2 linked regions of the Macaca fascicularis genome follow. The protein of the gene in region 1 purifies or fractionates together with the protein of each later gene. This does not show direct contact. Links are inferred from orthologs where the notes say so. Each region holds a gene or a part of one and is shown on either strand. Other genes may lie near its edges. The genes, in order: PTCD3 and YBX1.

Evidence for each region.
Region 2: the proteins of PTCD3 (region 1) and YBX1 purify together in Homo sapiens (co-immunoprecipitation; 4 studies listed by BioGRID and IntAct, with this or other methods). This does not show direct contact. The link is inferred for Macaca fascicularis from reciprocal best matches to the Homo sapiens genes PTCD3 and YBX1.

What each region holds. Positions count from the first base shown.
Region 1 is NC_088387.1:35,442,214-35,446,025, reverse strand, and holds part of PTCD3 (small ribosomal subunit protein mS39), read left to right. Parts: intron 1-253; coding exon 254-339; intron 340-787; coding exon 788-936; intron 937-1,839; exon of another isoform or gene 1,840-1,976; intron 1,977-2,485; coding exon 2,486-2,527; intron 2,528-2,927; coding exon 2,928-3,086; intron 3,087-3,418; coding exon 3,419-3,509; 3' UTR 3,510-3,812. UniProt on the Homo sapiens protein: Mitochondrial RNA-binding protein that has a role in mitochondrial translation.
Region 2 is NC_088375.1:192,186,689-192,191,241, reverse strand, and holds the start of YBX1 (Y-box-binding protein 1), read left to right. Parts: upstream 1-1,706; 5' UTR 1,707-1,845; coding exon 1,846-2,645; intron 2,646-2,682; coding exon of another isoform or gene 2,683-2,746; intron 2,747-4,553. UniProt on the Homo sapiens protein: DNA- and RNA-binding protein involved in various processes, such as translational repression, RNA stabilization, mRNA splicing, DNA repair and transcription regulation.

The sequences.
Region 1 (3,812 bases):
CCACGTGGAGCTGGTGACCGCTCCCATGTAGTGCACGTGCTGTGATGAACAAACACTTCACTGGAACAAGGCCCAGGCATTGGCTTTTACATTTGTTCCACCTTGAATCCTGGTGGGTTTCTGGAATCCTGGGATAAGCCTAGAATAAATAACAGCAACTTATTTTTACCGAGCAAAAAATAGGTTGACAGTGAACAAGAGAGTGTTGGTTTTACATAACAATGATCACTCCTTGTTCCTTTCTTGTCTCAAGATAGTAAAGAATATGGTTTCAAGTTCCGCAACGACCTGAGAGAAGAGATCCTGATGCTCATGGCAAGGGACAAACACCCACCAGAGGTAGGCCTGAAACTCCAGCCAGTATATCCTCCCATACTGAGGTCTTAAGGCTAGCTTCCCCAGTTTCATCTGCCATTTTGGAGAGTTCTGCCACCCAAACCCATATTTGAGTGATGATACATCTAAACATATCTTGCCTTTAGCAGAAATCTGTCCTTAAAGTTACCCTCTTTCCTGTAGTCCAAAACAGGCAACATGAAATTAGCTTCTGTCTTCAGCTTGCTTTTTAAAAAATCTCCATCTATAAAGGAAATGCATAGCTGAATGTGAAAGTTTGTGGCTAATCAAAATACTTAGGACAGGGTCCTTTTTTAATTACTCGTGTGCTATACACATAATATATTCAAATGGTAAAATGCATTTCTCAGAATTTAAGGATCCTGTAATTCTGAACTGAAATTCTCACAAAATCAGTTAGGCGGTTCTGCTGACTCCTAAAGCTTCTCAGCTTCAGGTGGCATTTGCTGACTGTGCTGCTGATATCAAATCTACATATGAAAGCCAACCCATCAGACAGACTGCTCAGGATTGGCCAGTCATCCCTCTCAACTGTATAGCTGTCCTCTTTTTAAGGGCTGGGAGAACTCAGGAAGCCTGGTGAGTACAGTACCACAAGTTTACACTTTAGAAGCTTTTGTATTTGGATCTAAAACATTGACCCACGCTGGTAGAAGTTCTCTGATTTGGCCATTCTCTCATTTGGCCATGTAACAAGTATTTGATTCGGGAACTTGCAAATACCAACTAAAAAGGAAACTTTTGGAAGAAGACAATATGCATGATGTATTTGAGATAAGGCCTGGTTCTCTCAAACCATAGGCTGAGAATTAATTATCTTTCCCTTTCTACTTTCTGTGTCTATGGACAAGTAAGTCACTTAACCCCATTACTCCACTTAAATGGACTAAAGATCAAAGAAACATGATCAAGGAAACATAGTTTTGAAAATGTTTTGGTCATTTGGGTTATTGAAGTATTTTTGGATGCTTCTCCCATCCCGCTCTCCAGCTTAAAATGTGGGCTGTGTACTTAGACATCTGGAAGCTGGCATTTACGCACATTAACTAAACTTGGCCTTGACCACAACCCATCCTTGGTTGGTGCCGCTGTGTTCTGGTTATGTTTTTATCAGCATTTCATTCACATACTAATTTTTGTGTTTGTGAATGGGAACCTTAGCCATATTCATGTTTCCAAAAATGAGCAAAAGGATCTTTTGTAGGGATAGTGACAGGTGGTTTTCCTGTATTTTGTTTTGTATATAAATGTGTGTTCTAAGAGTCACGAGTGGGAGGTGCTTGTGCATGGCTCCTTGTACAAGAAAGTAACTATTTGAACATCCGATTGCCAGTCACCTATCTCCAGGAAAAGATGATGAAGGCTTGTCTTTGAGGTGCGGCTCACACATGCTCCTCTAGCAACTATGCTGCTAGTGACAGAGACGTATGACATTGGCATTTGGTTGTTAGCTCAGGCAGTTTGGCACACACTTGATACGACCAGGCTGTGATGATTGGCGCAGGGGTACGGACCTCAGCTGAGTCATGGGAGCTGAATGTATGTGTTTCTCTTTTGTCCTGCGTGTGGCAGGCTAATGGGGAGCACTTACATGAGACTGTTGCCTCAATCTGAGCCTGCTCTTCATAACAGAATTCTAAGACAGACTGAACCCCTGCCGTATTTTAAGAGAGGGAAACAGCATTGTTCTGTTTGCCTCTTTTCCAGCTGTGCACAGGATGGATTCCCTCCCTAGGACAGTGGTGATCCTCTACAAGAGGACAAATACAGTTGGAGTATCCCTTTTCCAAAATGCTTGAGACCAGAAGTGTATGGGGTTTTAGATTTTGGAGCATTTTTGGATCAGGAATATTCAACCTATACCAGCAAATCTTGACATTGGTAGCGTATCAGATTTACCTGTGAAAATTGCAGTATAGATTCATTTGGGGAGTTTAAGCACCTGTGGTGATTCTCATGTATACGCAGGGCTGGGAGCTAGTAGAGCCCACAGATGTGTGTCTTTGGGAGCTTACAGTGTAGTTAAGAAAAGGGCATTTAGTCTGTGATTACAGAGGGATGACAGCTATAGTATCTGATTGCCTTGTTTTTCTAATAGTATTCATAATTTTTTTCCTATCTTGAACAGGAAAATGTTGGGGCTTTTCAGGAAGCATAATAAGATCCCTAGGTAAGTTGAAATCAGTCAGCTCTCTTTGAGTACGGCCTAGAAGTAGCCACATTTGGAATTTCTTCACCAGCCTTAGCCACCACATTTGGGCACTCTTCTGTTAGGCAAGCATACCGTCAACTCCCTACTATCCAGGGCGTCCTGAGGCAAGCAGTTTTTTATCTGTGCTCACGGGTCACCATGAGCTACACAGAATAGATCATCATGAAGTCATATTGAAAATCCCTTTGGCCCTTTAGACTTTCCAGCCTCACTGGAAACAAAATAAATGTTAGACTTCATCTAATTTTGTCTCCAGAAGTACTGTTGGGAATCTATTACTGAACTTATACTGGATCTTGTCTATAAATGTTTTACTAAAGAGGCTGGAGAAAGTTCACACTTTGCCTTTCTTTTACAGAAATGAGTTGCTGAATGAGTTTATGGACTGTGCAAAAGCATCTAACAGCCCTTCCCAGGCCATTGAAGTAGTAAAGCTGGCAAGTGCCTTCAGCTTACCTAGTTGTGAGGGCCTCACCCAGAGAGTAATGACTGATTTTGCAATCAACCTGCAACAAAAGTAAGTGGGTCACCACGAAGGAAAGTTTGTAAAATGGTGCAGACCTTTCGTCCATCTGCCCATTCAAAATGTTCATAGCTTTCTATCCCCTGTATTTCCTTGCAGAAGGTCAGAATGTAGTAATTTAATGATGATTTCATTTGTTATGCAAGTCAGGAAGGCCTCTAGATTTGACTGTTAGAATCTTTTTGTTCCTAATATACTTTAATGCAGCTGCAGGGTCCCTTTTTCTGCTTTCAAAACTGATAGGCTATAGGTGAGTGTCAGAGACACCAAGAACCCCAGCACCTAATTGAATTGCAGTGTAATCCTCCATTTTCTTTTCTTAACAGGGAAGCCCTAGGTAACCTAACTGCACTGACCAGTGACAGTGATACTGACAGCAGCAGTGACAGCGACAGTGACACCAGTGAAGGCAAATGAAAGTGGAGATTCAGGAGCAGCAATGGCCTCACCGTAGCTGCTGGAATCACACCTGAGAACTAAGATATGCTAATATTTAACACTGTTACAAAGAAGACAAGATAAAGATTTGGTGAATTTGTTACTGTGAGGCACAGTCAGTACACAGCCCAGTTCTGTAGATTTAAGCTCCTAATTTGCTACTTAATAACCATCTATTAATGCACTGTTAAAGGTTTAGCATTTAAGTAGCAACATTGCGGTTTTCAGACACATGGTGAGGTCCATGGCTCTTGTCATCAGGATAAGTCTGCACACCTACAG
Region 2 (4,553 bases), on another chromosome or scaffold:
TCATGAGCTAAGAATACGAATCGTTTTTAAAATGTTTAAATAGTTGAAAATATGTAAAGATTCGTGTCATGTAAAAATTAGGGCTGTTTTCAAGCTCCAAACCTGAGTAGTAAGTCAGAACCATATTGTCGGCCAAGCTTGTATTATTATTTGGTTCTCACAGAAAAAGTTCCTACCCCTTGCTCTAAGCAATTGGCGATGATGGCCTACAGTAGTGGCAGTAGGAATGAAGACTCTGAATTGACATTTAGAGAGTTTAGGACTGACTCAAGAAGGCCTTTAGGAGGTGGAACTGACAGGCCTAGACGGCATTGGTAGGGGTAAGGGATACTGCACTAGCCTCCTAACTGCTTTCTCTACTTCCATTCCTTGCCCCTCTGCAACCCATTCTCCACTCCGCAGCCATTTTTAAAAAGATGCCCCTCCCTACTTACGACTCTAAAATTGCTTTTCTCACTCTTCCCCTCAGGATATATTTCCAATTCAATACACCTAAGTGACTCTGCCCACCTCTGCAACCCAATGTCACATTCGAGTCTTATTGAACTACTTGACTGCATTTCCCGAGATCCCACCCCTTCTCGCCTGTACCCTGTGCGCAGAAAGTCAGCCCTCCACCTTCTCCCTGCTTCTACTCCCAAAATACTTCGTGCTTCTGCAGCTCTGGAGTATTTACCGTGTTGGCTGTTTAAATTTCTGCCTCCATCAGAAGGCAGAAACTGACTCGCGAACTATTCCATCCCCAGCCGATAGTAGACGCTTAAAAAAGAACGAAAGAAGGTGGGTGGAGGACTTCAGTAACATCAGGTGGCAGCCTCAATTTTATCGTTTGTGAAACGTGGATAGTAATTCCTCTATCACATGGCTGTTGTACGAATTAAATGAAAAAAAACATAGGACGCTAGCTTGTTCAATAAATGTGAGTTGAATTAAATCTGATTTGTGGCCAGTAGAAAAACACGTTAACACTTGAAAAGGAAGACACATTTTTAAAAATATATGCCTGGTAAAACGGATCAGAAGGCAGGTCCCCACGGAGCACACCCTCGCCCTAAACATGCTGAGCCCGGGCTGCCAGAGCCTGCGTGGTCCCTCCAAGGTGACTGCTCCGACAAAAGCGTACGCTCTTCAAACGCATACGTTTAAGGCAATTCCAGAAACCCTCGGCTGTGCCGCGAGTACACGGCCATTAAAGAAAAGACGACTCTATGCCCGCCGTAATGTTCTCAGATCACAGGGACCGTATTTGGTGCAGGGAGGGAGGGAAGCCTTTTCTTCACGGGGAGCTAAGGCGTCGTCGAGCCCCCTTCCAATCCCGGGTCCGGCCGGGTAATCCCTGCCCAGCGTTCGGGCGTGCCTTTTTTTCAGCCGAGACACAACCCTGAACGTCGGGCCCGCCAGCCCGGCGACTGCCTCGTGGAAGTCACGTTCCCTCTGCCCGTCCTCTCAGGTACTCTATGGTTTTCGTGGCCGACTACTCTAATTCTAGTTCCGGTCTCTATGGCGGCCGGCGGAGGCAGGAACGGTTGTAGGTCGGCTGAATTAGCCGCCAGACAGCCAATGAGAGTGGAGGACTGATAAAATGTTAGTCAATAGAAGCCAGGGACTGAGGTCAGGTGGGCAGATTGACAGTACCACCGGCCAGTGAACAACGCCTAGGGCGGGTCGATCGTAGGGCTTATCCCGCCTGTCCCGCCATTCTCGCTAGTTCGATCGGTAGCGGGAGCGGAGAGCGGACCCCAGAGAGCCCTGAGCAGCCCCACCGCCGCCGCCGGCCTAGTTACCATCACACCCCGGGAGGAGCCGCAGCTGCCGCAGCCGGCCCCAGTCACCATCACCGCAACCATGAGCAGCGAGGCCGAGACCCAGCAGCCGCCCGCCGCCCCCCCCGCCGCCCCCGCCCTCAGCGCCGCCGACACCAAGCCCGGCACTACGGGCAGCGGCGCAGGGAGCGGTGGCCCGGGCGGCCTCACATCGGCGGCGCCTGCCGGCGGGGACAAGAAGGTCATCGGTGAGGACCGGACAGGGACGGGGGTGGGGCCTTCGGGCAGCCTGGCAGCGGAACCGTTAGCCGGGGCTGGGCGAGCCGGCGGGCGCGCGGCCGGTGGGGACCGACTCCGCGGCGCGCGGCCGCCCCTCCCCCCGCCCCCCCACTCGCTCTTGCGGGGGCCCGCCCGGCAGGCGCGCGCACACTGCCTCCCGCGCCCCCTGTGGACCCCGCGCGGCCGCGCGCCCCTCCTCCTGCGGCCGCGCGCCGCCGACCGCGTGTGCGACGGGGTCCCCTCCCCGCCGACTGGCCTCGTGCGCTCGGGCCCGCACGCCGTTGTTCGCGTCTCCCCCACCCAGCTCCCTTCCGCGTGTGCTCGGAGGGCGCGGCGCACCGCCTACGCAGTCCGGAGCTGCTTCCCCTTCCCTCACGTGCTCTCCGTCCGCGGCCTGCGAACACACCCATCCTGGGCCCGCGCCCCGGGCCTGCCCGGGAGCGCCCCGCGCTTCAGACTCACCCACGTGTGCGGCGGCGGCGGCGTGGCCCCGGCGCGGACCCGCACCCAGGCGGTGGAGAGAAAGGGCTGTCAGGTGGCCGCGGCGGGCAGCGTGCGAGGGACCGGATGCCGAAGCGAGACGGGTTTGGAAAAGGATAGCTGGTAATCGTGGCTTGTTTTGCTTTGTTTTCTTTTCCAGCAACGAAGGTTTTGGGAACAGTAAAATGGTTCAATGTAAGGAACGGATATGGTTTCATCAACAGGTGAGCTGCTGGGCTCTGAAGCCTCCATCCTACCTTCTTGCTTGCTTCTTGCTGTGCCAATCCACAGTCCTCTTCTGAAAGGCGTTTACTACCTCTGGTGTATTAATGTGATTTTTTGTCTGTTTGTTTTCCTTGACGACTGGAGGGATTTGGGTTTAGAGAATGCCTTTGTTTTGCAGCTAAATATTAATTTGAAGCTAACTTCAAGGGCTTCGTCACAGCACAAAGCAATTTAAAAGGCAAGCGGAGTGAATGAGCCATTCCTTAACAGGGTAAACGGGAAAGTACGGTCCAGTAGATTTTTATTCTTGTCATCCTTTTCTACTTTATTGAACTCGGTATTTGAGAATGTGATCCACTGACATCGGATATTTACGCCTTGTTAACATTTTGGGGGTAAGAGGATTTGACGTGTCAAGTATATGAGGTTTTGTCATCTTTACCGAGAGGTTGTATTGCCTTTGTTTCACGTTTCATTTTAATACCTGAGATAAATTCTGTATTAGCACAGCTTTGACCAGAGAGAACTGTTTTTATTTGTTCATAAATAATATATCTGCAAGAAAATGGTTTTTTTCCTTCAGTTCTTATTTCATTCTTCCTTGTCCTAAAATCATGCTGATGAAGTCAATTTCCGCTAGATCCCTGGCTGTAGCTTATTAGAGTGGCCATAGTCACTAGTAACTTGACATTGTTCTTCCTGTTTGAAGGTAAAGCTGCAGATACGTCTTTAGGACTTACCCTTCGGGTTGTTTGTGGCAGTGGTGGTGGTAACGTGCAGTAGACGCACAGTATTCCATGGGCTTCCTTGTGAGCCGGGCATCATTTTCAAGATGGCTGCCAAGGCTAGTAGTGCAGTTACATGGGTGTAGAGCACTGGGTATGCCAGTAGCAATCTTGGCCTCACAGGTATGGTACTTAAGTGCCATCTCAGCATTCTCTTGCTTACTTACTGTAGAAGACCTAAGCAGATGATTAAAAGAACAACGTGGAATGGACAACAAATGGGCAAAATCAAGCTTAAGGACAGATTCATGGCCTGATGAAAAACTGTTCATTAATCAATCATAGAGTATTGTGGAAATACTTAAAGTAAGAGATAAGCATTTGATGATCTATTCTCTACTTTTGCAATTGTGGGAAAACATTTTGTTTCTTCCAGAATCTTAGGATTTTCCAACTTGTTCTATACTGTTTGCCTTCCTGGCTGGCTGAAACTACGGTTTTCATTAATTTTTTGATAAAAGCTTACTAGCAAAGAAGAAAGGGAATGCTTATATATGATTGGTAAACTGATAGCTTTTTAACTGATCTGTCTGAATTTGTTAGTGTTTTAGTTTGTATTTGTGTCTTACTGACTGTCCTTACTAGTCTAACTCTTAAACCAGTGGTTTTCAAATTTAAGTGTGCTTACGTTGGAAGGGTGTGATTTAAGTGGTGTATTTCTTCTGAGCTTTGGATTCATTAGGTCTGGGTACATTTTTAACAGGAATGATAATGGTCTTCGGGCCATACCTTCAAAATCACTGCTTTTAACCCTTGACCCAATGTAATGGTAACTCTGGTGTGCAAATATGCATCCTTTTCAGCAGATAGATCGCAGTTTTTGTATGTGTTTAAGAAGTTTTAGCATGTGCCTTGTTTCGCTGCATTTTTTTTTTAAGTGGGCATAGGTTATGACATTTTTTGAAATCAATAGTTTTGTCCAAAATAAGAGTATTATCTTTACACTTTATAAGTATTTAGTCCATGAGATACTATTCATTGAATATCTCTGTTCTGAATTGGAATCAACTCAGTTGGTCAT